Linked DNA regions of Callithrix jacchus. The protein of the gene in region 3 purifies or fractionates together with the protein of the main gene of each other region. This does not show direct contact. Links are inferred from orthologs where the notes say so. Each region holds a gene or a part of one and is shown on either strand. Other genes may lie near its edges.

Region 1 (10,736 bases), on a different chromosome or scaffold from region 3:
CCCACCTCAGCCTACTGAACAAGTATGTGCCACAACGGCTGGCTAATTTTTGTATTTTTAGTAAAGACAGGGTTTCACCATGTTGACCAGGCTGGTCTCAAACTCCTGACCTGAAGGGATCCACCTGCCTTAGCCTCACAAACTGCTAGAGTTACAGGTGTGAGCCACTGCGCCCAGCCTCACAGAGAATTCTGAACGAATCTGAAGCACTAGGCTTTATTTACTTACTTATTTTTTATTTTTATTTTTTGAGATGGGGTTTCACTCCTGTTGCCCAGGCTGGAGTGCAATGGTGCAATCTTGGCTCACCACAACCTCCGCCTCCCAGGTTCAAGCAATCCTCCTGCCTCAGCCTCCTGAGTAGCTGGGATTACAGGCATGCATCATCACACCTGGCTAATTTCGTATTTTTAGTAGATGGGGTTTTTCCATGTTGGTCAGGCTAGTCTCAAACTCCTGACCTCAGGTGATCCACCCACCTCAGCCTCCCAAAGTGCTAGGATTACAGGCATGAGCCACTGCACCCGGCCTAACTTACTTTTTAATTTACCTTTTTTTTTTTTATTTAGTAGAGACAGAGTAGTTTTTTGTTTTGTTTTGTTTTTTGAGGCAGGGTATCACTGTGTTGCTTAGGCTGGGATGCAGTGGTGCCATCACAGCTCACTGCAACCTCAAATTCCTGGGGCTCAAGGGATCCTCCTGCCTCAGCCTCCAGAGTAACTGGAACTATAGACAAAGTCTCCCTATGTTGCCCAGACAGGTCTCGAATTCGTGGTCTTAAGTGATCCTACTGCCTCAGCCTCCCAAAGTACTGGGAATTACAGGCATGAGCCACTGCCATACCTAGCCTATTTATTTTTTAAATCAGAGAAGTTTTTTCCATGTAGATTGTGATGAAGTGCAGGATAATTAGAAAGGATACCCACAACCACCAGAGACAAGCTAGGAAAACATCAACAAGGACTAACATTTTCTGTACTTTTTAAGTTATAGCAAATTTTATTTTCTCTTTTCTTTTTTTGAGACACAGGCTGGAATGCAATAGCGGGATCTCACTCCAACCTCCACCTCCCAGGTTCAAGCAATTCTCCTGCCTTAGCCTCCCGAGTATCTGGGACTACAGGCACAGGTCACCATGCCCGGCTGATTCTTGTATTTTTAGTAGAGACAGGGTTTCACCATGTCAAACTCCTGACCTCAGGTGATCTCCCTGCCTTGGCCGCCCAAAGTGCTGGGATTCCAGGCATGAGCCATCACGCCCAGACAAATTCTACTGTTTATGAAGTATCTTTTCTCTCCCTCTTCCAACTAAACCCAGATATATCCCAGTAAGCAGCACTCTTTTTATTTTTTGGTTTTTTTTTTTTTTTTTTTGAGACACAGAGTCTCACTCTGTCACCAGGCACCAGGCTGGAGTGCAGTGGCACAATCTCAGCTCACTGCAACCTCCGCCTCCCAGGTTCAAGCAATTCTCCTGCCTTAGCCTCCTGAATAGCTGGAACTACAGGCATGTGCCACCACGCCCAGCTAATTTTTGTATTTTTTAGTAGAGACGGGGTTTCACCATGTTGACCTGGATGGTCTCGATTTCTTGACCTCATGATCTGCCCGCTCGGCCTCCCGAAGTGCTGGGATTACAGGCGTGAGCCACCGCACCTGGCCAGCAGCGCTCTTAAGGCTGTTTCAGAAAACCCCACCCTTCCCTTGAGATCCAGGACAGACTCCTCGAGATGGCTGAGACAACAATCTGCAATGAGTGTGATGGGCTCAGAGAACTGCTGACAGTTCTGTGGAGCTCCGTTCCAACCCAGTGCTGAGAATGCTGGACCAGCAGAGGCACAGTACCAGTAAGTCAACCCTGTGCCAAGAAGGAAAAGAAAACCACAACCTGCATTTGGAATGCATTTAGTGCTGAACAACTGCAGCCACTCGGCAGAATACAGGAAAAGGCCTCCATCCTAATGAACACTTTAACCTATTCACACGGACCCTGCAATCAAAAACAATTCTAGCCGGAATGAAAGGCTTCTCTCATCCAAGCATGCAAAGGCTGGAGTAAGGGGTGCATGAATCTTTCCTTTCCCTTCCCTTCTGTCACTCCATAAAGCCTCCTGAAAGGTGGAAAGAGCAACAGTGGTGAAGGGTAGAAAAACATCACTTACCTGTCTGCAACTGGGGGATAGAATTGGAGAATTTCTTGAACTTGGCAATAAAGAAACCATCCATATTGTGGGTATGAGGGTAGAAGCGTCGGGTAGAACGCAGACTGGGGTGGAAGCGCCTTTCTCGAAAGCGGGTAAAACCTTCCTGGCCAAAGTCTAGGCCTGTGGGCACCAGCCGCACATTCCGCTTTTTGAGAGCGTAGTCAACCACCCACTCATTCTCTTCCACCTGGATGCGAGGGGAAGACAAAGACAGAAGGGAGGAAAAAGCAGAGCTGGAGCTGAAGGGAGCTCTAATGGGCAAAGAGCCCTCCCAGCCCAGCCTCCCTGGCTCTGCCATGGCGAGTCTCACCATGATAGAACAGGTGCAGTAAACGAGGTAGCCTCCTGTCTTGGAGGTGGCATTGACAGAGTCAATAGCACTCAGGAGCAGCTCCTTCTGGAGGTGAGCACAGCGCAGAATGTCCTTCTCATCCTGTCCCAAAAGGAGACCCAAAGGTAGCCTCAGGAGGGGAGGAGAGTCCCCACCCCTCTTTCCAGCTCTATAAGACCCAGCCAAGGCCTCTCAGGGGCCCACGACCCGACTGCTCACCTTGTTAGTCTTCACAGCTGGGTCCTTGGAGATGACCCCAGTGCCACTGCAGGGAGCATCCAGCAGTACTCGGTCAAAGCCTCCCACCACCTGGGGAAAAGATACAGATGAATCAGATGTCTCTTCTGAAACCGGCAGTGCACTATTTACTAGGGTCAAATCTAAACACTGAGGTCAGGAAGGGAGAAGGTAAAGTGGAAGAAGCCTCCGGAGAGACACTGCTCAAGTCTCACCTTGGGGAACTGGCGCCCATCGTAATGGCTGATAACAGTGTTGGTGACTCCCAGCCGGTGCAAGTTGCCCACAACACTCTTGAGCCGCTCAGCATTGGCGTCATTGGCAAGGATCACACCCGTGTTCTTCATCAGCTGAGCTAAAGGGAGGGCAGTAACAGTGCTTATCAGCCGGTTCTGCTGTCTCCACACTTGCTCCCACCCTCCTGCCTGGGAATCCACATGAGAAGCGTCATCACCTCGGCAACTTCACTCCCAACAAGCCAGCCCACTGGATAGGCTGATCCACTCTGCACTAGCCCCTGGTGGTTGGCAAGTCTACCGATGTGGTTTTCCTATTTTTACTGAACACCTGTCTGGTACATACTAAATTATTTCTTTTCAGTGATAGCAGCTTAATAAAAGTTATGACTACTGATTATGTGCTGAACACTGCCAAGGACTTCCAAATGCATCGTCTTAACACTCACAATCCAAGCATAATACAAGGGCCGACCCGAGCACAATTACCATCCCATTTTACGGATGACAAAAGAGAACCCATAGTCAGATGAGTAGTAAGTGGCACACCGGCACTGGAATCCAGGCCGACTCCAGAAACTGCTCCTCACTCTGCTGGCTGCCTGTACACTGCACTCTGTGAGCCCTAGTGAGTCAGCAACCCCATCTACTTTCAAAAGCAAGAGAGCCCAGTGAATCCCACCTGTCTGCCCCTCTCTCCTACCAATGTAGCTGGTCTTTCCTCCAGGGGCAGAACACATGTCCAGGATCCGCTCATGTTCCTGGGGTGCCAAGGCCATGACAGGCAACATGCTAGAAGCTCCCTGCAGCATGTAGTGCCCAGCCAGGTACTCGGGGGTAGCACCTGTGGAGAAGGACCACCCTGTGACATGCAGTAGGGACAGGAACAGAGGTGGAAGGGCTCTTGGGTACAGGAGACTTACCAATGGGCACAGAAGAATCATATACCACTAGTCCAGTCTTTGACCACTTGCCCAGGGGATCCAGGTTAACCCCACGATTGATTAGAGTCTGAAGGGGAATGAAGATTTTTTTTTCTTTTTTGAGACAGAGTCTCACTCTGTTGCCCAGGCTAGAGTGCAGTGGCACAATCTCAGCTCACAGCAACCTCTACCTCCTGGATTCAAGCGATTCTTCCTCGTGCCTCAGACTACCAAGTAGCTGGAACTAAAAGTATGCACCACCACGTCAGGCTAATTTTTGTATTTTTCATAGAGATAGGGTTTCACCTTGTTGGCCAGGCTGGTCTCGAACTCCTGACCTCAGGTGATCCGCCTGCCTTGGCCTCCCAAAGTGCTGGGATAACAGGCGTGAGCCACCGCGCCAGACCAGGATGAAGATTTTAATAACCTCATAGGCTACTCTACCCAGAAAACAGATAAAGACATTAAAAACATGGTTCATAAGAACACGGCCCATGGCCCCACAACTCCTAGAGTGCTTACTGAGAACACAGTTATCATGGACTCATCAAGCAGTTTCTCTCTCTCACCCCATCCTATGGTGCCCTTTTTTCTTAACCTCAGGCTCCTAACTCAAGGTCTGAACTTCATTCCAACGGAGCAGGATGCCACCTCCTATTACTTTATTTCCTGGAAGTGGCATCTGATTTTCTAAGAGGCTGAGCCCCTCCCCCATCCAAAAAATTTAATATTGGTTACAGCATATAACATTATTAGGTTTTCTTCACACCAAGATATACAACACATATAACCAAACAGTTGACTTCAGAACAGGGGGTCTTTAATCTCGGGCCCCTGAACCCTTGGAAATGAGTTCAAAATACTGAGTGTGCATATGTGTATATGTCTTTTTTTTGCAGTGAGGAATTATGTTTCCCCAGCTCCTCAATGATCTTCCAACTTCCTTGGGAGGCAGCACACTCATCCCAGTCACAGGAAGCAAAAGCCGGATGGAGGGATGAACTTCCCATTTCCCAGAGGTCCTAGGCCCCTAGCCTGTCAGAGACACCAGGCCTCTGGGTTTGCCTCCCAGGATCTTGCTTAGGTCCTAAGGCCCCACCCAGTCAGGGTGGCATAGGGGAACCTCTGGAGTTGGCAGAAGTCAGTCCCCTTCTGAGGTGAGCAAACCTCAAAAGCCACCCCTTACCTGGGCAAGGTCTCGGCGTCGGGTTTTCAAGGTATTGGTCCGGAGGGTGACGGGCCGAGGCACCTCATTAGCTTCTAAGAACTCCACCAGCTTCGGGAAAGACAGCAGGGAATAAGTGAGGCTGGATAAGGAGCTCAGTCAGAGGGAGACAAGGAGGCTTGAACATCTTCCTTACACAGGTAAGGTGGTGAGAAAGAAAAGCAAAGGGGGCATTCTGGCAATCTAGTACCTCAGACAGAGGGAAGAGGTCCATGAGCTTGCCAAGCAGGAAGTCTCCATAGGAATAGTAAGTGGCCAGGTCCTTCTTGAGCCGATTCAGGTATTCAGAACGAGACCGCCCTTCTTCCCGCTGAGCCCCAAAATCACGCAGGATTCCCACGATATCCTGGATCCGCTTGTGAACTCGTTGCAGGTCTGGAGCCTGGGCATGTGGGCCTGTTAAGGAACTGTGTCATGATGTCCTAGGGCCTGGAAATAGCTCTACTAAGCACCTTCCTCCTACTGCTCACTCTGCCCTGCAAGGATATCCTGCTCCATCTCCCCAGCAGGGGGCAGCACAAACGGCTCCTCATCCACATTGATCTGCAGGCCCCCATCTGCCTCCTCCTCCTTTGGGGGGCCTGACTCAGAGGTCACTTCTTCCTCTTCATCCTCTGTCTCCTCTTCACTCCACTGGACTCTAGAAATAGGTCCAGGAACAGAGTGATTCACAAACCAAAACAAACACCTCCTCCTTCCTCACGGCTTCCCCCACCCCAGCTGCTGCCTATGCTCCATCCCAATTGCTTCCAAAACTCACCCAGCAGCAGCTTCCCGGGCCTTCTGCTTCCGAGCAGCTTTTTCAATGGGCAGCAACTGAAGAGACAAGGGTTGTTAACACAGGCCTGCCTTTCCATCAGCCCATGAAGCACTTTCTATCTCTGTATCTTATTTTTTCTGCTAAATAAAAATGTTGACACTTGCTCTCAGAAGGAAATAGAGAAGCAAAGAAATGAACATAAGATTGGTACAATACTGACCACTGTTGAAACTAAGTAATGAATTAGCCAGGCGTGGTGGCACACATCTATAATCCCAGCTACTTGGGAGGCTGAGGCAGGAGAATTGCTTGAACCCAGCAGGTGGAGGTTGCAGTGAGCTGGGATTGAGCCACTGCACTCTAGCCTGAGCGACCGAGCAAGACTCCATCTCAAAAAAAAAAACAAAAACTAAGTAATGAATTAAATCGGTAATTACACTTTTTTTTTCTACTCCTATGTTTTTCACTTTTCCATTCAGAAAAAAAAACTTGAAATACAAATACCTGTATGTATAAAAAGGGACAAGGACAGGCATGGTGGCTCACAACTGTCATCCCATCATTTGGGAGGCTGAGGCAAGGCAGGCGGATCATGAGGTCAGGAGATCAAGACCATCCTGCTAACACGATGAAACCCTGTCTCTACTAAAAATACAAAAAATTAGCCGGACGTAGTGGTACACACCTGTAGTCCCAGCTACTCAGAAGGCCGAGACAGGAGAATCGTTTGAACTCGGGAAACAGAGGTTGCAAAAAAAAAAAAAAAAAAAAAGACAAAAAATTGCCCTTGGCCACCATTTTGCCATATTTTTTCCAGACTTACTCTATATTTTTCACATAATGCATTTTCAAGTTTGTTTCTTGCTTTTGATACTTCAGTTAGATCACAAGCATTTTCACAGACATAATGACCAGTGTTAACTACATCATATGCATGAATATACTTAAGCAGATTGTATATTTTGGAAGTTTCCAGAGTTTCTGCCATCATGATCAACATGGTGCCTGCAAACCTCATAGTGACTCTGTAGATATAAGGCGTTGCAGGAAAGGGTGCACATGGAAACTTTTTTTATTCTATACAATTCTAATAATACATTCGCACACTAATTTTATAATAATTTCCTGCACACCTCAGTAAATAACTCTTTGCCTACATTTTGGGTCATCTTCCTTAACAGGGAATTACTATGTCAAAAGGATTCAGTTTTGTTTTGTTTTTTTCTGAGACAGTATCACTCTGTCATCCAGGCTGGAGTGCAGTAAAGATCGTAGGTCACTGCATCCTTAACCTCCCAAGCTCCAGTCATCTTCCCGCCTCAGCCTCCTGAGTAGCTGGGACTACAGGCGTATGCCACCACACCAGCTATTTTTTTTTTGAGTCTCATTTTGTTGCCCAGGCTGGTCTCGAACTCCTGAGCTCAGGTGATCCACCCAGCTTCCGAAAGTGCTAGGATTACAGGTGTGAGCCACTGCACTCGGCCAATTTTTAAAATTTTTTGTAGATACAGGTTCACTCTATGTTGTCCAAGCTAGTCTCCAACTCCTGGTCTCAAGAAATCCTCCTGCTTTAACCTCCCAAAGTGCGGGATTATAGATGTGAGCCACCATACCCAGCCAAAAGGAACACATTTTTCTTTTCTTTTCTTTTTTTTTGAGACGGAGTTTCACTCTTGTTACCCAGGCTGGAGTGCAATGGCGCGATCTCGGCTCACCGCAACCTCCGCCTCCTGGGTTCAGGCAATTCTCCTGCCTCAGCCTCCTGAGTAGCTGGGATTACAGGCACGTGCCACCATGCCCAGCTAATTTTTTGTATTTTTAGTAGAGACGGGGTTTCACCATGTTGACCAGGATGGTCTCGATCTGTTGACCTCGTGATCCACCCACCTTGGCCTCCCAAAGTGCTGGGATTACAGGCTTGAACCACCACGCCCGGCCGGAACACATTTTTCAAAGTTCTGAGTTAACTGCTTTATAAAAACAGTGCCTACATGTCTATTCCCGTCGGTGGAACATACCATTGTCCACCTTCCCACATCCACATCAGCAGAGCCTTCCAGATTTTTTTAAATGCTCTATCCACAGCAGTTTCAAACTTGTAGGTGCACTGGGAGAGGATGTAAGGCAGTAGGGAAACAGTGATGGAGCACAAAAATTGCTTTCCTCTAATCGGGCTTATCCTTGTCACTAAAAAATAGTCTCAAAAATCTAGAAAAAAACTAAATGGAAAGGACCTTCTCTGAATGCCCCGAGAGATGAATCTCACCTCTTCACCTTCCTCCTCATTCTCAGAGTTGGAGTCAGCTCCATAGTCATCTACCATACCAGCATCACTGTCCTCGGAGCCCCAGAGGTCCCCGTGGTTCACCACACCATCTTCTTCAGAGTCTTCCTCTTCCTCATCACTGCTAGGTGCTGGGCGCTTCTTGCCTCGAGCAGCATTAAATAGGGACTGGGTTCCCTTCTTATCAGCTGTCTGGACAGCTCCTGCAGAGATCCCTAAGGGTTTGAAGAGTTCTGAACTAATGGCAGCCACACATTCCCTGGCCCCACACCCTAGGAGCCTGTACTTTCTACTCCTCAGAATGTCCTTTGGCTGTTCCTTTCTAGAAATGTTCAGCAAGTCCTTCCCTACCCAGGACCCAGAGGACTCCACATGTAGCATCCAGCTCTTAGTTTCACTGACCTTGTGGTAGCTTTCCAGGCAACAGCTTGGCCTCAGGAGACTTATTTGTCTCAGGGGCTTCAGCAGAGCCAAACCTCCTCTTGGCTGCTCTGAAAATATACAAGAGATACAAGGAGTGAAGAAATGGGAAGATACTTCCAGGCTCTGCCATTTCCACCACGGGGAAATATGAGAGTCCACAATTAACTCTGTGGTCAAAGATGAGCAGTACCAATTTAACCTACTGAAGTCTTGATACCCACACTTACCTCTTTCGAGCACGACTAGACAACCTCTTGGAATTTTCATCACTTACTGTTTAAAAAAGAAAAATGAGGCAGAATAAGTTACAGGAGACATTAAAAGTAAAGGAGGGCTGGGTGCGGCGCCTCATGCCTGTAATGCCAACGCTTTGGGAGGCCAAGGCGTGCAGATCACGAGGTCAAGAGATCAAGACCATCCTGGCCAACATGGTGAAACCCTGTCTCTACTAAAAATACAAAAATTAGCTAGGCATGGTGGCATGCGCCTGTAGTCCCAGCTACTCGGGAGGCTGAGGCAGGAGAATTGCTTGAACCTGGGAGGCGGAGGTTGCAGTGAGCCAAGATCACACCACTGCATTATAACCCACACTCCGACAGAGCAAGACTCCATCTCAAAAAAAATAAATAAATAAAAGTAAATAAAAAACAAAAACGGGAATGAAAATAAAAGTGGTAAGAGAATTAGTACCCTAATTAAAGGGAGGCCATTTGAATTTCAGCCCTATCATTATATAATAGCTGTATACCAGTTTTTTTTTTTTTGAAATGGAGTTTCACTCTTGTCTCCCAAGTTGGAGTGCAATAGAGCAATCTCGGCTCACTACAACATCCATCTCCCTGGTTCAAGAGATTCTCTTACCTCAGCCTCCCAAGTATGTGGGACTACAGGCCTGAGACACCACAATTTTGTATTTTTAGTAGAGACCGGGTTTCACCATGTTGGCCAGGCTGATCTCGAATACCTGACCTCAGGTGATTCATCTTCCTCGGCCTCCCAAAGCGCTGGGATTACAGGCGTGAGCCACCATACCTGGCTATACGAGTTTCTTAACGTCTCAGCATCCACTTCCTTAATAGTGCCTCTCTCACAGGACTCTAAGACGATGAAGTGATATAACATAACCAACAAGTTCAATAGTGTCCAGGATTTGGTACCATCTCAATAAACTGCATCCTTTATCCACTGCCCAACACAAACTCCCAGTCCAGTCTTCCACACAGCAGACGGATCGGCATGGAGAAGCCAGATCCATGCTTTTCCATTTCCATACCTTCCAAAAGGCAAGTCATTGACCGACCCCTCCCCTTTCGCTACTTCTCTTACTACAATGTTACCCATTTTTCAAAACCCATTTTAACAAAAACTTTTACAGTTCTGCATAGGATCTCCCTTCCTCTGAACCCACAATGTTTTAAATCGCACTTTTCTTTGCAGGAATAGTTGTGTCCATGTCACATCTTCTCTATGACCTAAACAGTTCCTACAATCTCAACGACAGTGTTTCATTTATACCTCGTAGTAACTCATACAGAGAAGACTGAATAGAAAATGAACAGAGATGAAAAAAGAGCGGAGGTTATGATACAGAATACTGCAAAAGCTGAGGGATCAGGGGGCCACAACTAATTGTTACCTGTAGGCAAGAATCTGGCGAGTTCGGTCTCGGCACCCTTCTGCTTCCGGGCCTTTCGGCCTGGCCCCCGCTTCTCCTTCTTCGTAGGGTCCAACTTACGCCCCATGGTACTGTGGCATACAGAAATGGGAGAAGATAGCGTCGTGCGTGTCAGAGGGAATGGCAGAACGCAGGCTTGGCGTATCAGAGTGGGAAAAGGCACAGCCTCAACTCAGCACCCACGACTCAGCACCCGCGACTCAAGCACCCCCGCTATCCCCCTGGAGGCCCGATCAAACGTCCTCCCACTCGGAAACCCAGGTAGCGCATCCCTCTCCCCACGTCCCAGACCAGGTCAGCGCTGCCACTCTTCGTCCCCCAGCTTCCTCTAGACCCACCAGAACGCGGGTTACCGCCTGAGACTGCCCTTCGGGCGGCGCTCCACGTGTACTCCGGAGCTAGCTTTCGGCCCGCAGTTGCCACAGAACCGTCCCACGC
Region 2 (10,836 bases), on a different chromosome or scaffold from region 3:
AAATCACTAAGAGATTGGGTAAAAAGTCTATATAAAACCTATTTCAAATTAAACTTCAAGGTCCTGAAGGTTTACAAAGTCACAATTGAGAAAAATACAGAAACGTTACAGGAATGAAGTCTTTTACTGCTATAGTATTCATAAACTCTAAATAATATAATACTCATAAACTCCATATTTCAGACTTTAAACCTAACAACTTATGGCTGGACGAAGTGGCTCATGGCTGTACTCCCAGCACTTAGGGAGGCTGAGGCAGATGAACTAAGCTCAGGAGCTGGAGACCAGCCTGGGCAATAGAGCAAAGCCCTGTCTCTACTAAAAATACAAGAAATTAACTGGGCATAGTGGCATGTGCCTGTAGTCCCATCTACTAGGGAGCCTAAGTCAGGAGAATTACTTGAACCTGGGAGGCAGAGGTTGCAGTGAGCTGACATCACACCACTTCACACCAGCCTGGGCAGGAGAGCGACACTTTGTCTCCAAAATATTTAAAACAAACAAATAAACCCTAACAACTTAAAAAAGAATCTTAGGTCCAATGCTTTTGTTTCTTACTGGTCTTAAATAAACACAAAAATGGGAAGTTTGTGCCACTTCTGGGCCTTTGTAGTTGCCATTTTCTCTATATTAAGTTAAACATCATCCCTTAGAAAATGTTTTTCTGGTCTAGCCTGAGCTGTCGAAAACCTATAACCTCCTTTATTTCTCCTACCTTTAATTGAAATTATAAACCTTGTTTATGGCCTGTCTCCATTTAAATGTAAGTTCCATAAGGACAGGAACATTGCTCTGTTAAGCAGTTTCTACAGCACATGGAATAGTGTGGGATTACAGCAGAGATTCTAAAGTTTGTACTCTAAAGAAGGCTTTCTAATAGTGAAAAAACTATCTTAATTCTTCTAAGTTTTGAACATTTTGCTTTAAAATGTAAATTTATGTGCTGTGCTTCTAGAGCTTAAAAAAAAATACATGAGTGTAGTATGTTAAAAAATACTTCAAAAATGTAACCTATTCCTAGTTTGTAATGGCTTAAGTGCCAATTCCACATGAATCACTTTTAATACTAGCAAAATGTGTTTTCCCATGTGGGTTTTCATATTTATATGTTTAATGGACTTTTAATTTTACTTTATATATGTCAACTGATAATTTTTTGAGTATCTACTTGGGATTTGGCATAATACTAGACACTACGGGATTAGGAAATGGGATACAATCATTGTCCTGAGGAAATTCAATATGCTTGTTCAAACAAGACAAACAGAAATGTGTGAAGAACTGTGAGATATAAAAATTTGAAAGACCCAGTTATTGAAGAGATAATAAAATGTGTCTGAAGAGCTTTTACAAAACAATTTTTAAAGTCACTGCATGACTTATTTTTGAAATAAGCAATTGTTAGTGTTTCTAAAATATTTTATTGCAATTACTTTCCAAAATTACCTCGTTAATCACAAATAGCTTATCCTTACGATCCATTTTAGTATCTAGAAAAAAAGAAAAAGCAAGTAAATTAAAGGTGATTTCAAAGTTACTTCAATCAAACCACATATGCTATCTAGAAATTGTTTTTACACTCTTCAGTTTAAAGGAGATTTTTATTATTAATTTTCAAAACAAGACCTGAAAACAATCACTTAAAAAATCTTAATTCTGGCCGGGCGCCTGTAATCCCAGCACTTTGGGAGCCCGAGGCAGGTGGATCATGAGGTCAAGAGATTGAGACCATCCTGGTCAACATGGTGAAACCCTGTCTCTACTAAAAATACAAAAAAATTAGCTGGGCATGGTGGCGCACGCCTGTAATCCCAGCTACTCGCGAAGCTGAGGCATGAGAATTGCCTGAACCCAGGAGGCAGAGGTTGCGATGAGCCGAGATCGTGCCACTGCACTCCAGCCTGGGTTAACAAGAGCAAAACTCCGTCTCAAAAATAAATAAATAAATAAAATAAAAATTAAAAATAAAAAATCTTAATTCTTTGTCACTGTAAAGAAAATAAGTAAAAAATAGTCTGCAAGAATTATAAATTACAGTTTAAGCAGTGTTTCTCAGTCTTTAGGTATTCTAGGAAACCTTTTCAAAAATGGAAAAATTCTCACAAACCAAAGACTATGTTAAAGGAAACCAGTTTCAGTGAAAATATCTTTCACTTTTTAATCATAGGTATCAAAGAAGACAGACTGTCCTCGTAACAAACCTGCACAGATACTCCCCGATTTTAAAAATTAAAAAACAAAAAACAAAAAACCCAAAGCACCTCTCAACATAAGCACAACAGCCATATGATGGCGCTGCCACTCCACTGTTATAAACTTTTTATTTTTTTTTTTTAAGACAGGGTCTTGCTCATCGCCCATGCTGAAGTGTTGTGGCACAATCATGGCCCATGGCAGCCATGACCTCCTGATTCCAGTAATCCTCCAGCTTTAGACTCCTGTATAGCTGGGACTGCATGTGGGTGGCCCCCACACCTGGCTACTTTACTTTTTTCATTTTTTTATTTTGTAGATACAGGGTTTTACCATGTTGCCCAGGATGGTCTGGAATCCTGAACTTAAGTGTTCCACCCACCTCGGCCTCCAAAATGCTGGGATTACAGGCAATGAGTCACCATGCCTGGCCATACTGTTTGTGCCTATAAAATAACCCATTGCTTAAAAATAAATAAATAACTTGGCATTTAGAAATAGGCTCTGACTTAAAAGATGCTTCAAATTCTATCCCACGTCCATTTCTCAATAAAAATAGTTTAAAAAAAAAAAAGCTTAAAAAGTAACACATTGTAGTCCTGAATCATTTAGGACAAACAATCCCACCTATGTCATGACCTTTAGGAGCATTACAATAAAGGCATTCCTGGACCTTCAAGAAATATTTCAATAATATCAGGATATCTGTTTGAAAAAGTAAAGAAACTACCTAATGAAGTCTAAAGAATTTCTAATAAAATGTTAACTGGAAAAATTGTGGCACTTGAAAGGATAAAAGGTATTGTGTTTTTTTCCTGAAAAGACTGAACAAATGAAGAATATATAAAATAAGTATCAACATATAAATAGGTGAGTTTATAGATAGAAATTTCTAAAGTATATGATATAAAGGTACCTGCTTTAGAATGAGGCATCAACCTTCTCAAGTCCTGCATTAAATGTCTTGTTCTGAAATTTATCCCTCTGGAAGAAAAGATGAGAATCCGTTCCTTATTTTTCCATTTGCCCTAAAGAAAGAGAAAATGTTAAAAGATTTTAAAATCTCATACTGAACTGACCTTATTTTTGAGAGAGGGTCTCATGCAGTTGCCCAGGCTGAAATGCAGAGATGCAGGCTAACAGCTCACTGCAGTTTCACGTTCCTGGGCTCAAGTTATCCTCCTACCTCAGCATCCGCAGTAGCTGCAGATTACAGGTATGTCACATCATGCCCAGCTAATTTAATTTTTTTGTAAAGACGGGGGTCTCCCTGTGTTGCCCAGTCTGGTTCCCAACTCCTGGGCTCAAGCAGCTTGGCCTCCAAAGTGCTGGAATTATAGGTGAGAGCCACCACACCTGGCCCTGTTTGTTTTTCAAGAGCTTCCAGGTAGCAAGTCAAACCATGCTGACTCCTTTAATCCATCTCTCAGCAACATTCACTGACCACATCTGCCACCCAGAAATGCCCTCCTTGGTTTCTTTCTTCTTTTTCATCTTCGATTTCTCCAATTCCTCTTCCTAACCCTTAAAGTTCTTGCTTAGCCCTCTCTTTTCTGTGCTCTCTATGCCAGGTCTCATAATAACTTCCCACAACTTTAATTTTTGTCCACTCTACAGAAGGGAACTCTCTCTAGCCCTAATAATCCAAGTATTTCATTAACACCTCAAACTCAACTCTACAATACTAAACATTTTCTTAGACCTCTTAAATCTGGTGCATTTCCTTGCTATTTCATTTTCTTTCTTTTCCTTTTTTTTTTTTTTTTTTTTTGGATGCTGTCACTTCAGTCCCTCAAGGTTTGAATCTTCGATTTGCCCTGTTTCTCCCATCTCATCATAAGCACTATAAAATGCTATCAATTTCTCTTTTCAACAATTCTTAATCCTTTCTTATTCACACTGCACTTATTTAGTGCCTTATATGAACCACAAAACTCCTCAATGACTAACCATCCCAGACATGAGCTTCTCCAACAGATATGGTTGAGTAGCTTTTTCAACAGCTTACTTTTTAAATACTTCAATCACATCCTTACTTCCCAGAGTTTTCTAAACAAAATCTGAATGACATAGCTTTGACACTGAATTGGAAAATAAATTTTCATTTTTACATCATTACTGCCCCAAATCAAGCCTAATGCAATCCAATCTGGTTCTATTTTTTACATTTTTCAGCATTTCCCTACCTCAAAGTCTTTCATCAGTTCTTTTTTCTCTCCCTTGGAGTGTTCCCTCTCGTTTTTGAATGCCAAAATTCTCCGGTTCCTCTGATATGCAGCTTAAAGGTTAAATCTAAATCCTTCCAGATTCTTTATCTTATTATACTAGGGTAAAAGTAATCTCAATCTCCTGCATTTCCACAGAATGTATTAAAGTATGGCTCAGATTATAGAAACTAACGCCTTGAGCGAAGAGAGCACTAACATTTATTGAAAGTGTACAAGTCCAGCTTATTTTTCATAAAAAGTAAGTATTCCCTCCCCCCACCCTCCCACTCCCACTCCCACCTAATCTGCAGGTCAGAAAAGAGCACAGAATGTTGCTGTTAATAACGATCCTAGAATTTACACTTACTTTCTTTTTTTTTTTTGAGATGGAGTTTCGCTCGTTACCCAGGCTGGAGTGCAATGGCGCCATCTCGCCTCACCACAACCTCCGCCTCCTGGGTTCAGGCAATTCTCCTGCCTCAGCCTCCTGAGTAGCTGGGATTACAGGCACGCGCCACCGTGCCCAGCTAATTTTTTTGTATTTTTAGTAGAGACGGGGTTTCACCATGTTGACCAGGATGGTCTCGATCACTTGACCTCGTGATCCACCCGCCTCGGCCTCCCAAAGTGCTGGGATTACAGGCGTGAGCCACCGCGCCCGGCCCCCACACTTATCATTCCTCAGAGCTCACTCACCATCACACCACATGGAGTCATTTACTTATCACCTACTCCGTACTAGAGTGTACTATGCTAAGTGCAGAGGACAGAGAAATTAATGTCAAAGATAATCCTTGTCTCCACAGTATACTGTGTAGCTTAAGAATAGTTCTTAGTTGAATGAAAGTTAACTGAAACAACTTGCGTGCACTTCTTTCGAATAAAAACCACCAACTTCTCTGACTTAAGTTTCCTCCTGAACTCCAACATTTCAGGAGGAAGAGGTCACATTCTAGTCACCTTTGCAATCTTTGCCAAAGGAAGCTTAACTTGGAACAATGCGTGGCACATTCAATGTCTGTTCAATACAGGTAAAGCTCAAAGTATCTGGACTATCTTTCATTATCCCTTGAGTTAAAGACCTAGTTAACAACTCACAGTCCCAAGGCCAACAACTTTTTAAAGGCTCACCTAACAAGCTTCAGGATCCCTGCCTGACAGCAGCTGACTTCGGCCGTATATAGGAATACTAATCACTGGAAGAAATACTCAAAAGCGAGAAATAACCAAGGAAAAGCACCACCCTCCAAAAATAATTGAACAACTAGGAAGACAACGCTGGATCTGAGCACCCTGTCAGTCGCTTCCCCGTGGGCCGGCTAAAGGTTCTAAAACCCGCTGCCCCCAGGAGGGCGGCCAAGTGCACAAGAATTAGCTATAAACTCCGTGTCCAGTATGGCCGGGAGAACTGCTAAAACCGACCTACGGTCAACACCCGAGCTATTCTAAAATTAGTAGAGCTGTAGTCAGAACCCCCAAGAAAAGGCGCACAGAGCCGCGGCTGTTGGTGTAACCCTTCTACCTTGCAAACGGGGCCTGGGATCCGGTTTCTCTCTTCTTCCTCCACCTCCTCTGCAGTAGCTCGAGGCTTAGCTGGCGGTTCGGCATCTTTCTCGTTTCTTTTCGGTTTCTTCGCCTGAACTGCCAAGCCTCCACGCCGTTTCCTCTTGGTTGCCGCCATCTTGTCTCGCCGCCTGCGCTCTTTGGCCTTCTTTCCGGTGTTGCCGCTCGCACCCTTTTCCGATCTCTATGGTTCGGCGGCTCTAAGCGCTCGGTTCAGCGGTCGTCCTCCAGCTCGGTGGTGCCTGCCTGCTTCCGGTCTTGGAGGCGCTGCACGCTTGGCTCTCTAGGATTCGTTCCGCTCCATGGTGACGGTGGCCGAGGTGGAGGGCCGAGCTGAAAAGTGTCGGGACCCGCTTCCCTTCTTCCGCGGTTTTTCGGAGCCGCCTTGCTACTCCTCAGGGACTTTGCCGGGAAGGGCTCTCGGGCGTCCAGACCCCACTGCAAAGGTAGGGTGTCAGCACTCGAGGACTGAGAGTAGTAAGTGATGCTGTCCAGCGGGCGAGCTGGTGAATGGGCTTGTCTGGGACCCTTGGGGGATCTTCTGGGCACTCCGAGCCCGCCCCCCCCCCCCCCATCGCCTGTTGCGTTGGAGGCGAGGCTTGCGGCGCGGGCGACACAAAACCGACTCCGTAGGGATTCGTAGCTCCTGTTTGGCCGGGATAAGCTGGCCCCAAGCGGAGATACCGTGTCAGTTGCGTGTCTTCATTCTTCACAACTTTTCACGTTATTGTCCCCTTACGGAGATGAGGAAACCGTAGCTTAGAAAATTTTCTCCCAGAGTTACAAAGACAGTTAAGTGGCATCGGTGGGGTTCGGCCTGGTCAGCCAAGTTCAGCTGCCCAATCCCCTTCCATTTCTCAGCGCAGGTGGAGCTCGCCAGACCTCGCCAGCACTGATGGGAGTTTTATTGTCCAATCCCTTCAGGTATTTCGCGATCCGCGGGAGCAGGTGTTGGCCCCAGAAGCATCCCTCGGGGCCGAATGTGCAGCGGACAATGCCCCTTCTGACCCAACAGATCCAAGACGATGATGATCAGTACAGCCTCGTGGCCAGCCTTGACAACGTTAGGAATCTCTCCACTATCTTGAAAGCTATTCATTTCCGAGAACATGCCACATGTTTTGCAACTAAAAATGGAATCAAAGTAACTGTGGAAAATGCAAAGTGTGTGCAGGCAAATGCTTTTATTCAGGTATGGAAATATGTGCCTTTAAGCCTGTGCCATAGATATTCTAAATGCAGTTTAATGAAATCTGAAGGTTTTAGTAGACAATAAATGACTTTATAGTCAATAGTCCTGAATAAATAGTATATGAATAAATAGCTGTATAGTCTTAAGTCAGAGAACAAAACGCCTTTACTTGAGTTTTTTTTTCTCTCCTGGTAACAAATTTTTTTTCCCATCTTGTTTTACAGAGATAATGGTTAGTAATGACTAAAAAGCTAGACTATTAGCTAGGCACTCCTCTTAGTATTTAACTTACTTAATCTTAACAGTAGTCCTGTAAGGTAGGTTCTGTTATTATTTCCATTTTGTATATGTAGAAACGAGGCACAATTTAAGTGATTTGCCAGCAGCCCCACAGCTGTTAAGTGGCTGAATTGGGATAAGAACCCTGAACATTTGTTTCCAGAATATATGCTCTTTACCACTGCGATACTACCACCTTGCTATTACTAAAGAGTATTTTTTCCTTTACTGGTTGTAGTAGAATTTTTATTCTTCCAGAGTAATATTTGTATGGTTAAGATAGGATTGCAAATTCAACTAAGCGTTTTTTAACACCTAAGTGCACAGCATGACGTCAGGGATAGAAAGGTAAATAAGACATGGTTCTTGCCCTCATGCAGGACATGGTATAGTGGTTCACACCTGTATTCCCAGCTGCTCAGAAGGCTGAGGCAGAGATGGGAAGATTGCTCCAGCCTGGTCAACCATAGTGAGACCCCCATATCAATAAAAAATAATAATAAAAGTTGAAACTAGGCCGGACACGGTGGCTCACGCCTGTAATCCCAGCACTTTGGGAGGCCGAGGCGGGTGGATCACAAGGTCAAGAGATCGAGACTATCCTGGTCAACATGGTGAAACCCCGTCTCTACTAAAAATACAAAAAATTAGCTGGGCACGGTGGCGCGTGCCTGTAATCCCAGCTACTCAGGAGGCTGAGGCAGGAGAATTGCCTGAACCCAGGAGGCGGAGGTTGTGGTGAGGCGAGATGGCGCCATTGCACTCCAGCCTGGGTAACGAGCAAAACTCTGTCTCAAAAAAAAAAAAGTTGAAACTAATATTGTTCATGCGTTACCAAGTCGTTTGTGTATTTTCCAAGTGACCTAAGCAGTAGTGATAGGCACAAAAATGAGACAAGGGGTAGTCACAGAGGGATAGTTTTAGATCCAGGAATGGAGATAAGGATGCTTCACAAGGATGTCTCTAGGATGTTTTGATTGCTAATGAGAAATTATTCTCGTGGGATTAGCACAGTATTGTATTTTTTAAACATATAAAGTGAAATCTAGGACCTTATGTATTAGTTTTCATTCTTTTGTGTAACCATTTTCATTTTTACTTTTTTCATAGGCTGGAATATTTCAGGAGTTTAAAGTTCAGGAAGAATCTGTTACGTTTCGAATTAATTTAACTGTCCTTTTAGACTGTTTATCTATTTTTGGATCAAGTCCTATGCCAGGTAAACTATTATCAGTAGAAGGACATAAAAGTGTTATATACAATGGACAGAAAAATTCAGGAATTTATTTGGAATATAAACATTTGTTCAGAAAGTTATTGCCAATTCATTTTTCATTGGCCACAGTCATGGGTTCTAACTTTTCCCAATGTTAATTGCAAGTGTGTTTATAGTTCTTTCCTTTGTAAAAGTATTAACATTTGTCTTTTTTTAATTTACAAGGCTTTGAGGGAATTTAAATCTGAACTGGCCAAAAGAATGCTTTGGGCATGTCTTAAATATCTTTAACATTGTGAAACGTAATTGCTTCTTTTCCCTAACTTGTCCAGAATTACTCAGCTAGTTAGTGGCAGGGAAAAACAGAAGCCGGTTCTACTGACTCCTAGTTTGTACTGTGTTCAAAATTTGTTTCTTTCAAGCCATATTTTATAAGTTATGTCTATTTTGCCAAATGATTTTTTTAAACATATTTTTTCTTAAGGGAATTATTTTTAAGAATGGTGAAATTTAGTTGCTGTGGGTCTAAAACTGTCAGGAATCCCCAGAAGAATGATTTTATTTCATAGGAAAGCAACCTGGAGATTAGGAAAAATTCAATATAGTTCTCCAATATAGTTCTCCAGAAAAATGTATTTTAATTTTCTACTGACAATTCCACTGTTATTAACTAACTATACATTTTCTAATACCGTGTTCTCCAGCTGGTTTTTCATGAAAGAATCTGTCATCTTCCATTCCTCACTGTGGCTCTCCATGCAGTAAGGAGGAATTTGAATATCCTATCACATTCCTCCTTCCCCTAATGGTTTGCAGTGTTAGAATTTACACCACTATTAACAACCCTCTTTTTGTCTCAATTTAATTTTGAAATTTGAAAAAATATAAAGAATATCTGAGTTGGAAAAGTTGGAAGGATCCTTATAAGAGTGAATACACTGACATTACAGTACACATAGCAGTCCACTGTTACACACATTGAACCTTCAAGAAATAGCATACTGTGTTCTGCGGCAATTTGGTTACTTGCTGTGTTGATCCATGTAGATTCTCTATCCTGAAATTTATGTATATAAAATCAAGCTATTTCTGAGGTATTTATGACAACCTGAAAATGATACCAGAGAGTTACGTTACATTTTGTTCTGGTTCCCAATTTTCTTGTATGTTTGGAATTGTCTACATACAACTGTCATCAGGGAAGATATAATCCCTTTTTATGAGGAGATACGTATATGCGAGAAATTTGGTGGAATGAATTATTCTTGAGAAATTTTATATCATTTTGAGGAGAAGCTGAACCCAGAGCTATAAAGCTAAGGCCAAGTATGATTTCTTTCCATTGCAGGGACTTTAACTGCTCTTCGGATGTGTTACCAAGGTGATGGTTACCCTTTGATGCTGTTCCTAGAAGAAGGAGGGGTGGTAACAGTCTGCAAAATCAATACGCAGGAACCTGAGGAGACCCTGGACTTTGACTTCTGCAGCACCAATGTTATTAATAAAATTATTCTGCAGTCAGAGGGACTCCGTGAAGCATTTTCTGAATTGGATATGACGAGTGAAGTCTTACAGATTACGATGTCTCCTGACAAGCCTTATTTCAGGTACTTGAGAGCGGTGGAGTTATAGTTCATGTGGTCTGTACTCTGTCTTCCCTCTAGACATTTGCTTAGGATGCAGAATTTTTATTATCCACATTTTTAGAGCTTTCACAACTTTAAATAGCTTGTACTCTTACTCATAATTTTATGGATCAAGAAACTTAAGACCCAGAAAGATTAACTCACTATTTCATATTTAGATGGTGTTGGCATGTAGATGAGAAGCCCGGTCCCCTAATTTCTAAACTAGTAATGTTTTCATACTACTTACTGTCATGTATCAGGTTACATCATGAGGAAAATTGGGTTTAAGTGTTTGGAAAGGGTATTTGTATTATATGGTATCTTTTTCAAGTTAGTTCAGGATGCAGAACATGTTTTCTACATGTGGTTCATTCATTCACTAAGGTATCTGTTGATCACCTACCATGTGCTTATTCATCTTATTGACCATTGTAGGAATAACAACTTAAAATTAAGGTGAAGCCAAGATATGTGAAACAGCAAACCATTAAGTACGAAGATAGCACACAGAGATCCCTGGGAAACACTGAATAAAGATTTAGGGAGGATAGCTCGATG
Region 3 (10,736 bases):
CCAGCCTTATAATTTAAAAAAAAAAATTTTTTTTAAGACAGGTTCTCACTCTATCACCCAGGCTGGAGTGCAGAGCCAAACATGGCTCACTGCAGCCTCAAACTCCCAGGCTCAAGAGATTGTCCCACCTCAGCCTCCCCAGTAGCTTGGACTACAAGCGCGTACCATCAATGCCCGGCCAAGTTTTAAAAAGTTTTTGTAGACAGGTTTCACTGTGCTGCCTAGGCTGGTCTCAAACTCCTGGGCTCAACTGGTCTCCCAAAGTGCTGGGATTACAAGCATGAGCCACTGTGCCTATTCTTTTGTTTCTTTGGTATACATTCATCCCTGGTGGTCAGTTCCCTCTCAGGTATCTACTTCTGTAAAATGCCCATCAGTTTATTGCTAAAGACAAAGAAGCCACACAACTACACACTTTGCTGTGAATGTGCGAAATAACATATTATTCTCTTTGTTCTACATCACAATCTTAGCAAATGAATCCAGAAATATCCTTTTTTATGTGCCAATAATGCTACAAGAAGAAAATGTGAAAATAAGTTATCCTTTCTGCTTAAGATACTATATGGCTCTCAAGCATTTCTAACTACCTTAAAAATAAAGTATGGTTTCTAAACTGGAACGGAGAGAGAATGGGCAGGTAAAACGGCTTACCATCCTAACAACACAGAGTAAAAGCCCAACAATCAATATGGCCTGCCTACACAATGTACCACCTACACAGAGCTTCCATTGATGCTAGTACTTCTCAAATATGAACAACCAAGGCTCGCCAGATATTAAGAAACCCCAGCAAGATAACCCTAATCAAAGGAATATGAGAGGATTATCAGATTACACCACATTAAGATAATGTTCTAATTATATGGCAGGCAATGTTCTAAATGTTTTACGTTGATTAACTTAATGCTGATGGGAACCCAATGAAGTAGATACATCTATATTTATGCCAGAGATGACAAAGCAAATGTTAAAATCCCTACGGTCAAACAGCAAGTAAGTAACAGAGTCAGGCCCCAGAATCCACGCTTCTTAACTTTTACAATACTTTACTGTTCAAACATGGGAAAGGCGAGATCAAAATGCATGGGCTGCAGAAACAGAGGGTAACTTTATCAAAAAATTAAAACTATAATCATATCCTGAGAGATATAAGATACTGCATCCAGACAATGAGTAAAATATGAAAAATGACCAATTAGAGAATAAGGAACTCTTGGGGGATAAATGAAAGCTAAAATACATATTCAATAAAATGAATGTAGGCTGGGCGCAGTGGCTCACGCCTGTAACCCCCGCACTTTGGGAAGCAGAGGCAGGTGGATCAGTTGAGGTCAGGAGTTCAACACCAGGCTGGCCAACATGGCGAAACCCTGTAGCTACTAAAAATACAAAAATTAGCCGGGCATGGTGGCACATGCCTGTAATCCCAGCTACTCAGGAGGCTGAGGCAGAATCACTTGAACCCAGGAAGCGGAGGTTCTAGTGAGCCAAGATTGTGTCACTGTATTCCAGCCTGGGCGATGGAGTAAGACTATGTCTCAAAAAATATATAAGTAAATAAATATTTTAAAAAATAAAGAAATCTCTCTCCCCCAAATTAGAACTGAAAAAAACCTAGAAACAGTGCCTGCAAAATTCTAAGGAGGAAATTCCTATCAGCCAAATTAAAGGCAATTTCAGAAATGCAAGGAGATAAAAAGTTTACCTCTCATCTTCCTTTTCTTAGTAAGATACTAAAAAATGGTACACAGAAAAAGCAGCATATGCCAAGATGGGAAAATATGGGATTCTGGAAATAATGATGCCAACTTAGAAGGTCCAGAAAAAAGGTGACAGTTGTGTGGCATATCTAGGTTATAGGAGAAAAATTATACAGTGGGTAAAATGACAAAGCATCTGGAAAGAACGAAGAATATAAGAATACAGAAGGAAGATTAGGCAAGCAGAAGAATGCAAGGTGAAGATTAACTGGAGGAAAAGCCAAAAGCTGTACCACAAAGGAAATCTTACCACAATGCACTGAGCTCTACAGGGACTGACTGTAATATCACTATTTAGAAGGATGAGGCAAAGGAAATGAGGGAGGTGTCAGTTAAATCATCATTTATCATAACATAAAGGCAATCTGAACTCAATGTCTAAATAGATAGCAATGTCATTTAATATCTAAATCTTTTAGTCTGGACTATTTTACCAAAAGGTATGTGTTCGTTTAGTAATTTTTTTTAGTTTATTGAAAGAAACGTTTACAACATGATACCAACAGAAGGGATAAAAATGTGCTGTGAAACTGCAAAGTCTTCATTCCTTTTTCTTGGTTCTTTGTATTCAAAGATGCTGTTCAGTGCGTTCTGTTCTTCATCTTCTCTCTTGTTCGTTTTCCAGGTCTCTTCTACAAAAAAAGAAATACCACATCTGGTCACATAGCAGCTTGCCTTCTGCCCGAGGGTGAGGATGAACAGAAGAGAAGGGAAAGGGGAGGGTTGGAAGTGGGATGGGGAGGCTGAGCCTGCTCTTCACCCAGGCACCTGGGCTCACTTACATTTGATCCTTTCTTGCCAGGCCTCTTGAGGCCTCTGCCATGAGCTGTCTTGGCCCGGAAGCTAGATATATCATCATAGCTCTCCCGAGTGTTCCACTTTGAGCCTTTCTTCTTTCCACCAAAACCAAACTTCTGGTTTTTATACCGTCGTTTAGCACTGGGCCTGGAAAAGAATGTTCGTAGACATCACCCGCAGCACTGTTAAGTCTGATGAATCTGATGGCCCAGCAATACTCTTAGTTTTCTTTCTATGAGCAAAGCCCCTTAGGCACTACTGTGACCCAGAATCTCATCCTTGGCCCCACAATCCTATGCTACAGCCCCTCGAGATACACTCGTCTAGCTCAACTATTTACAGTTCTAACCACCAGGGCAGGAAAATAAAGCAAGAAGCAGGGAAGGCTCCACATGCATCATGTGGCTTCCTAGTGTCTTTGGAAAGCTTTCTATTTTAACTAAATCTTGTTAAATCATCCTCAGTTGTGTCTATTCCTCTTAAGGGTAAATATATGCAGTTAACATTAAATGTAATACAGGTCATCCAATAGGGATCTCAAATTCAGCATCCCCAAATTCACATCACCTCCTGCACTGGCTCTACTTCCTGTATATATGAGCTCACTTGAGACTGGCACAGGTCCTGCCAACCCAGACACACAGGCTAACATGTGGGAGTCTGCCTTGGTTCTTCTCTCACTTTATACCCAATTCAATTGCTGAGTCCTGCTCATTTCACCTCTTAAATGTTCCTGCAGTCCATCTTCTCTTCTCCCTCAGTTGCCACTTTCAGGTTATTATCATTGCACATCTGGACTAGTCTCCTTGTCAATTTCCCAGCTTCCCTCAAGTCCCTCACTTATACAAAATCCACTGTAATCTTTTTAAAAGCATGACTATGACTTGCTCATTATTGTCAGTACAACCTATAACCTAGTCTCCCCACTGCCTTCTGGACAAACCCCAAGCTCCTCAACAAGGCAAACCAACAGCGCAGGTCTCCCAAGCCACATCGCACCCCTCCTTGCCTTGCACTGTAGTCCCAGTGACACCAAGGGCTTACTGTTCCTCACAAAACCCTGAGGTTTCACATCTCTATGGCTTTGCTCTTTCAAGCTCTTCCTTCTTCCCAAACCCAGCTTCTCTCCTATTCTTGTGGTTAATTCTTACTCACGCTTCAGGCAATGCTCAAGTCAAACCCTCCTCCAGAAATCCAGAAATCCATCTCCAGACCCTGTCAGGTATTTTTTTTTTTTTTTTTTTGAGGCAGAGTTTCCCTCTTGTTGCCCAGGCTAGAGTGCAATGGCATGATCTTGGCTCACTGCAACCTTCTCCTCCTGGGTTCAAGCGATTCTCCTGCCTTGGCCTCCTTAGTAGCTGAGATTACAAGTGCCCACCACACACCTGGCTAATTTTTTGTATTTTTAGTAGAGACAGAGTTTCGCTATATTGGCCAAGCTGGTCTCCAACTCTTGACCTCAGGTGATCTGCCCACCTCAGACTCCCAAAGTGCTGGGATTATAGGCATGAGCCACCATGCCCAGCCCATATCAGGTATTTCTAAAAGCTGCCTCAATACTACTCCCCAAATGCCTCTATCATAGATAGCACTTACTACCTTACACGGAAATGATCATTTCCCCTAGGCCTGGTATCCAGGTATGCAAAACACTGAAGAGCCTGCATTCTTCTTTCAATCTTCATACTATGAGGCAGATACTCTTTCCTCAACTTAGCAGATGAGGCAATTAGCACTTAGAAAGGTATGGTAACTTGTTCAAAACTGCCCTACTACTAAGTGGCAGAGCCAGGGTCTGAGTCCTAGGCCTGAACTCTCAACCATCACACCGTGTGATGGGGACTCAACTTTTACTCAGCATCTACTTAAAGAGTACCACATACTTAAATGTACCTTCTTAGGCTGGGTGCAGTGGTCACGCCTATAATCTCAGCACTTTGGGAGGCTGAGGTAGGCAAATCACTTGAGCCCAGGAGTTCAAGACCAGCCTGGCCAACGTGGTGAAATCCTGTCTCTACTAAAAATACAAAAATTAGCTGGGTGTGGTGGTGGGCGCCTGTAGTCCCTGATACTCAGGAGGCTGAGGCACAAGAATCACTTAAACCCAGGTGGCAGAGGTTGCAGTGAGCCAAGACTGTACCACTGCACTGCAGCCCAGGTGACAGAGTTAAACTCTGTCTTAAAAAAAAACAAGTTTAAAAAGGGCCTTCTTTTATGCCTCAAAGACTGACATGGCTAAAATTACCCATCACACAGTGCTAGGAGTCTTGGCCACAGGCAGCAGCTGCATTCTCTGGACTCACAGCTGAGCCAGTAGGGGTGCTACGCCTGTCATCTTCGTGACCTATGGCCCCACAGCACCTCCCAGAACCAAAGAAACCATACCAAAATACTTCTCACCCCTTCTTCATCTGCTGGCCTTTGGCTCCTGCCTTCTTGCCCTGTGTTGGGGGTTTCTGATCTCCCTCAAGGAAATCCAGTTTATCAGAGAAGCCTGTAAGTGAAGAAGCAGTTCTGATCAGCACCATTGTATTTTAAAAGTTGAAACCACCATATAAAGCTGTTATTTGCCACACTGATTTTAAAAGTGACATCCTGCTCCCCAACACCATTTCCAAAACTTAGATCCGATAGGTCCACATCAACCAAGAAGGCTCCAAAGCACTAAGTGCTCAGATCAACTCTAAAGTACCTGCTACCCTTGTTCCCCCAGCAGAGAGAGGTACCAACCTTTCTGATATTTCTTAATAGCGTTCATCATATGTGCTTTCTCCTGCTGCCTCTTCTGAAGAACCTCTGTTTGCACCTGTGATATGAACACCAGGACAGTTACAGCCATTCCACACCATTACTCCAGTGTCCACATTCTCTTAATAGCAACACCATGATTAATACTGCTACCCTTTGACATTTACTATGTGCCAAAAACTATGTTAAGGGCTCTAAGTATATTCTCAGATCTAGGTATATTCTTCATAGACGAAGATATATCTATTTCATAACAATCCAGTGAAGTTGAAATTTGTGTTATCCCCTAAACTGAAACACGCAGAATTTAACCTGCCCAAGTTGCACAGTGAAAAAGTGCACAGCTGAGATGACCCAAGCTGTTTGCCTCCAAAGCCAGCATTCACTCTATTATAGAATCCTCCCTACTAAACTGCAGCAAATCATGTTTAAGCCGACATCCAATTTTTCCCATCATATTTGGACAGATTAACTATCTAACTTACTGTTACTAGGCATGAAAGTACCAAAAGGAAGAGAAAAAAACAATGTCCCCAGGTAAAGAAAAGAAAAAGGTTTTAAGAATAAAAGGAGAAACTTTATAATACTCTAACAGAGTTTCTCAATCTTGATACTGCTACACTGTGGACAGACTGCTGGGGGGAGGGGCCTGTCCTGCACTGTGGGACATTCAGCAGCACCCTTGCCCTCTACCTGTAGATGCCAGTAGCACCCTCCCTCCCACATTTGACAACTAAACATACCTTCAGGCAGTGACAGAAAACTCCTGGGGAGCAAATTCACCCCAGCTGACAATCTCTTCCTCAATGTTTCCTCAAAGTAGAAACAGTGAACTAATAGGCCCAAGTGAGTTTGTCTTTGCTTTTAATAACTTTGGTTAGGTTAAATTAATTATTGGTGTCTTTAAGATAATCTCAGCCATCTGCCTCCAGATCAAAGAAATAATAAATCCGTGGCAGGCCCTTTGTAGAGACAGGATCCCGGCCTATTCTTACTTTGTTCAGAATGCATCAGTGAAACGACCCCACATGTGGACAAGAGTTCTGCAGCCCAGATCACAAATGCTTATGTCCGAATGCTGACAAAGTCTCAACACCCACGCCCATCTTCCTCACATTCATTTCTTCCCATAATTCTAACTTTAAAACCCATCATCTTCTTTCTTAGATGACCATGAAATAAAAAAGGAAAACCAAGAAAAGTATGCCTGATCTGGTGTTACATAAGAACTCAGACGTTCATAGTTCAAACACACAGGCAATCTTTCAGATTGGGTGACAATCATTAAAATAACCTCTTCAGGGACTGATTATCACACAGGCCAGTGAATCCCAAACCGGGATGCATTTCAGAATCACCTGGAAAGTTTTCGGGGAAGAGGGGGAAACATGCACAGATTCCCAGGGATTGTGAAGTCTAGAATTCTGTTTTGAAAAATTTGCCCTGGTGATTTTGCTATAAAGTCAGGTTTGGAAACCGCTCATCTGAAAATTTAAATTAAAGCCCAGAGAAGTGAATGGCTCGCCTGCAGTCACCATGCTACTCCTGGTGAAGCGCTCATGTCCAGGCAAGATGGTGCTCATGAATACCAGCACATACACCGAGAGATGGTAAACACATGATCAACACACAGTTCAGTTCAGGGGACCAAGTCAGAGCACAGCAATCTCATCAAACACACAGGCTCCGCCTCTTCCTATTCCCTGCACACTTTCCTTCTCACCTTCTTCCCGTATTTCCTAAGTGCTCGCAGCTGCTTAGCCTTTTCAGACTTCTCCATGGCAGCCTGTTTAGTCTGCAGCTTCTGTCGAATCTACAACACAAAATGCTGTCAGTTTATGGTATTTGAATCTGGAATGACCACTGCTTAGGATGCACTAGAGCAGGGAACAGATATTCCCTAAAACTGTGGAACTCATAAATCATTGATTCCAACCCCTGAGGACAACGTGGCCCAAAGGTTGAACACTTTACCAAAAGTGTCACAGTGAAGCCAGAGATGGAAAGTCACCTTCCCACTCCCAGTGTGCTGTCTGTTTCATTATACAAACTGCCTATTTGAAGTCCAGGAAAGAAGACAAATTTCTCCTCACTTCTACTGTCAGTAGACTGAAGCTGGAAACCAGTATGCAGCCTGAGCACTCTTTTGTGGTATACCACATATACAATAAAAACCCAGGCAGATTATCAGGTACCTAGCCTTTTCAGTCAAACATACACATTTTAGTTAAAGGATGAGAAGTTGTCAGTGAGAACGAATACAGAGTTCACAGCGAGAAGGGGAACTACTACCAAGACAAAAGCTCCCTAAAATCCAGCATGAGACCCAAGGGTACTAATTAAATACAGTCATCCCTCAGTATCCGTAGAGGATTAGTTACAGGATCCACTATGGACAACAAAATTTACAGATGCTCAAGTCCCTTATATAGAAATGGTGTAGCATTTGCATACAACCTACACTTACCTCCAGTATACTTTAAATCAGGGGACCTCAATCCCTGGACCACAGACTGCTATGAATGTGCTATGAATCTGTGGCCTGTTAGGAACTGGGCTGCACTGGAGGAAGTGACTCGTGGGCAAGCAAGCACTACCACCTGAGCTCCACCTCCTGCCAGATCAGTGGCAGCATTACATTCTTATAAGAGCATGAACTCTAATGTGAACTGTGCATGCAAGGGATCTAGGTTGCATGCTCCTTATGAGAATCTAATGCCTGATGATCTAAGGTGGAACAGTTTCATCCTGAAACCATCCCCTCCTCCAGACCAGTTTCATCCACAAAACCAGTCCTTGGTTGCCAGACTCTGCTTTAAATAGTCTCTAGATTACTTATCATACCGAATACAATGCTACGCATCACCTCATTCTCATGGATTCAATGTAGTTCTCAGCACATGGCAAATTCAAGTTTTCTTTTTGAAACATTTTCAATTTTTTTACCAAATATTTTTGATCCGAGTTTGGTTGAATTCACAGATGCAAACCCATGGCTATGGAGGGCCGAGTATATCTTGGATTACATTTTGGCAATCCCCTCCTCCAAAGTTAAATGAGGTCCAAGTTCTACCCAACTCTTTACTGTACTACATCTGAGCATCTAAGAATCCCTCATTTTATAGAGGAGAAAACTGAGGCCCAGAGAAAAGTAATTGTCTACAAGTTCTAGCACTGTCAGTGGCAAAGGTACAACAAGAATGTTGTCTTCTCTGCACACCATGCCATGACCAAGCCAGCTAGGAAATGCAATGGGCCATCTTTATCTCAGGAACCACACTTCTCACAGTACTGTTCCGCTCCATAATTGCTGATTTTAGAAAAAATGTCATTCTTATATGCATCTAATTGGTGGTAACTGGCATGACTCTGAAGTAGCCCATCTCTGGAAGAGGTAATAATTGTTCTCTGACAACGGCTCCCCATTATTGGACCCATACCTATCTTTCTAAGCCAGCTGAATATGCTTAAGTACAAAATTTTGGCTTTCTAGAGGAAAATTTCTATTTCTTACCTTCTGCATCTGCAGATCAGACTTGGCCATTTCTGCAAAATAATCAGTGGGCCGCTTGGTAGGAACTTTGAGCTGATGGAGGCGGGGTAAGACTGCAAGCACTGCAGCCTGGGCTTGGCGGTAGCTGAGAATTGTAGGACAAAAGGTGTAATGAAGTGAAGGAAAAGGGCCTTACGTTCCTTTTCACCGGACTCTCAAAATCTGACCTCCATCAGCAAGAACAAACAAACAAAAACCGTAACCAAACTTCACTAATTTAGTATCTAAAAGAAACATAGGCCGGGCACGGTGGCTCATGCCTGTGATCCCAGCACTTTGGGAGGCTGAGGCGGGTAGACAACGAGGCCAGCAGTTCGAGACAACCCTGACCAACATGGTGAAACACCGTTCCTACTAAAAATACAAAAATTAGCCAGGCGTGGTGGTGGGCACCTGTAATCCCAGCAACTCAGGAAGCTGAGGCAGGAGAATTGCTTGAACCTGGGAGGCAGAGGTTGCAGTGAGCCAAGATTACACCACTGCACTCAAGGCTGGGCGACAGAGCGAGACTCTATCTCGAAAGAAATAAATGTAGCCATATACCATTTTTTAAAAAGGGGACGGATGTTGCTAAAAATAAATTAGTTTTAGAGAATGACTACTCTAAAGGTACCCATTAACAAACTAATGTCAACTATGGATTCTTAATGTAATTACTAAAGCAATTCCACACAAGAACATCCCATAAGCAATGGTTTTTTTTTTCTAATAACTGAAGCATGCACAAAAAACTTTAACATGAGTATTTCAAATTAGCCCATAAACTGGACTTTGAATCGTGACCATGGACCAAGGAGCTCTTTTCTCAAACAGGGAGAATCTCCTAGCTACTCTCAGTCAAAAGAAGCCATTCTCCCTACTCTTCTGCCTCTTCTGAGTGCAGGTTTATTAATTTCTCCTCTTTCTCACTCTCCTGCGTAAGAATACTCAACTTCTCCAACATTTTAAAACAAACATACAAACTCATCTCCCGCTGGAAGTCGTCTTCTGGATCAACAGCTTTCTGGTCCTTGTTCTGAAGTGTTGGCGCCTCAGATTCACCGATCTCCGGCACCGGACCCAGTGTCACATCGAGCCTTTCAACCCATTCCAGATCCCGCTTGAACTCTGCCAAACACTGCTTCAGGCCATTCTAGGAAATCCAGACACTGAACTCATAAGAAGGGAAACTCTTGAGTTTGTCTTTGACAAGCACAGGGTGCAAGGCCAAGGGACAAACCGCTAATCCCCAATACCCGGACAGGTAATTGACCCTCTTGGCAAGGTGCAGGGTGCGTCTTTCCTGGGACAAGAATCGGTCTCCCAAGCCCAACAGCGCCTGGTGCGCATCCCATATCCGAGTACCCAGCACCCCAGCTCACCACGTCGTTCACTGCCTTCTTCGGCCCCTCTAGCACGACGTTGAGGCCTGGCTTCAGAAGCCCTCGGGAAAACGCATCCTGCAACTGCAGGACAGAAGCACGGTCACTCCCAGGGGGGTAAGGCCCCCTCTCCCACGCCCACCCACCGCGAGCTCGGCTCACACCTACCTCTCTGTCTGTGACTAGGGAATCATCGGACTCCGACTCCGAACCCGAGAGCGGGGGAGTGTCCATCTAGCCGCACGCCCGTCCCACACCTACCGGAAGAAGCCGGGTATCCCAAGCGGCTAGCAGAGGGCGGCCCTGGCCGCTGTTGCCTGCCTTCAGCCCCCTACTCCCACGGCTTGGCTCCACGTGCCACCAAGTCTCACCAGCGCCAGTAACTCAAAGCTACTGCTCAACTCTTTGATTGGGACTTCCGCTTCCGGCGGCAGACCATACATCCGGTTTGTCGTTGCTATAGGAACCGCTAAGGCGTTTGAGCGTTCCCAGGTCGCTTCGGATCCGTTCAGG

What was found.
Region 1: the proteins of EBNA1BP2 (region 3) and NOP2 fractionate together in Homo sapiens (co-fractionation; 3 studies listed by BioGRID and IntAct, with this or other methods). This does not show direct contact. The link is inferred for Callithrix jacchus from reciprocal best matches to the Homo sapiens genes EBNA1BP2 and NOP2.
Region 2: the proteins of EBNA1BP2 (region 3) and BRIX1 purify together in Homo sapiens (affinity purification with mass spectrometry; 4 studies listed by BioGRID and IntAct, counting the BioPlex papers as one, with this or other methods). This does not show direct contact. The link is inferred for Callithrix jacchus from reciprocal best matches to the Homo sapiens genes EBNA1BP2 and BRIX1.

What each region holds. Positions count from the first base shown.
Region 1 is NC_133510.1:20,748,545-20,759,280, forward strand, and holds the start of NOP2 (28S rRNA (cytosine(4447)-C(5))-methyltransferase), read right to left. Parts: upstream 10,722-10,736; 5' UTR 10,637-10,721; intron 10,370-10,636; 5' UTR 10,366-10,369; coding exon 10,260-10,365; intron 8,897-10,259; coding exon 8,851-8,896; intron 8,692-8,850; coding exon 8,603-8,691; intron 8,416-8,602; coding exon 8,183-8,415; intron 5,973-8,182; coding exon 5,917-5,972; intron 5,797-5,916; coding exon 5,643-5,796; intron 5,545-5,642; coding exon 5,347-5,544; intron 5,208-5,346; coding exon 5,118-5,207; intron 4,020-5,117; coding exon 3,932-4,019; intron 3,853-3,931; coding exon 3,691-3,852; intron 3,128-3,690; coding exon 2,988-3,127; intron 2,845-2,987; coding exon 2,755-2,844; intron 2,638-2,754; coding exon 2,515-2,637; intron 2,392-2,514; coding exon 2,163-2,391; intron 1-2,162. UniProt on the Homo sapiens protein: S-adenosyl-L-methionine-dependent methyltransferase that specifically methylates the C(5) position of cytosine 4447 in 28S rRNA. Required for efficient rRNA processing and 60S ribosomal subunit biogenesis.
Region 2 is NC_133503.1:170,706,525-170,717,360, forward strand, and holds the start of BRIX1 (ribosome biogenesis protein BRX1 homolog), read right to left. Parts: upstream 6,106-10,836; 5' UTR 6,082-6,105; coding exon 5,923-6,081; intron 3,222-5,922; coding exon 3,110-3,221; intron 1,491-3,109; coding exon 1,447-1,490; intron 1-1,446. Other genes in the region: cell cycle checkpoint protein RAD1, read left to right, coding at 6,958-7,155, 8,545-8,653, 9,999-10,257. UniProt on the Homo sapiens protein: Required for biogenesis of the 60S ribosomal subunit.
Region 3 is NC_133508.1:79,828,528-79,839,263, forward strand, and holds the end of EBNA1BP2 (putative rRNA-processing protein EBP2), read right to left. Parts: 5' UTR 10,667-10,736; coding exon 10,595-10,666; exon of another isoform or gene 10,458-10,594; coding exon of another isoform or gene 10,392-10,457; intron 10,308-10,391; coding exon 10,224-10,307; intron 9,995-10,223; coding exon 9,822-9,994; intron 8,948-9,821; coding exon 8,824-8,947; intron 7,123-8,823; coding exon 7,033-7,122; intron 5,368-7,032; coding exon 5,292-5,367; intron 5,056-5,291; coding exon 4,962-5,055; intron 2,709-4,961; coding exon 2,546-2,708; intron 2,396-2,545; coding exon 2,345-2,395; 3' UTR 2,214-2,344; downstream 1-2,213. UniProt on the Homo sapiens protein: Required for the processing of the 27S pre-rRNA.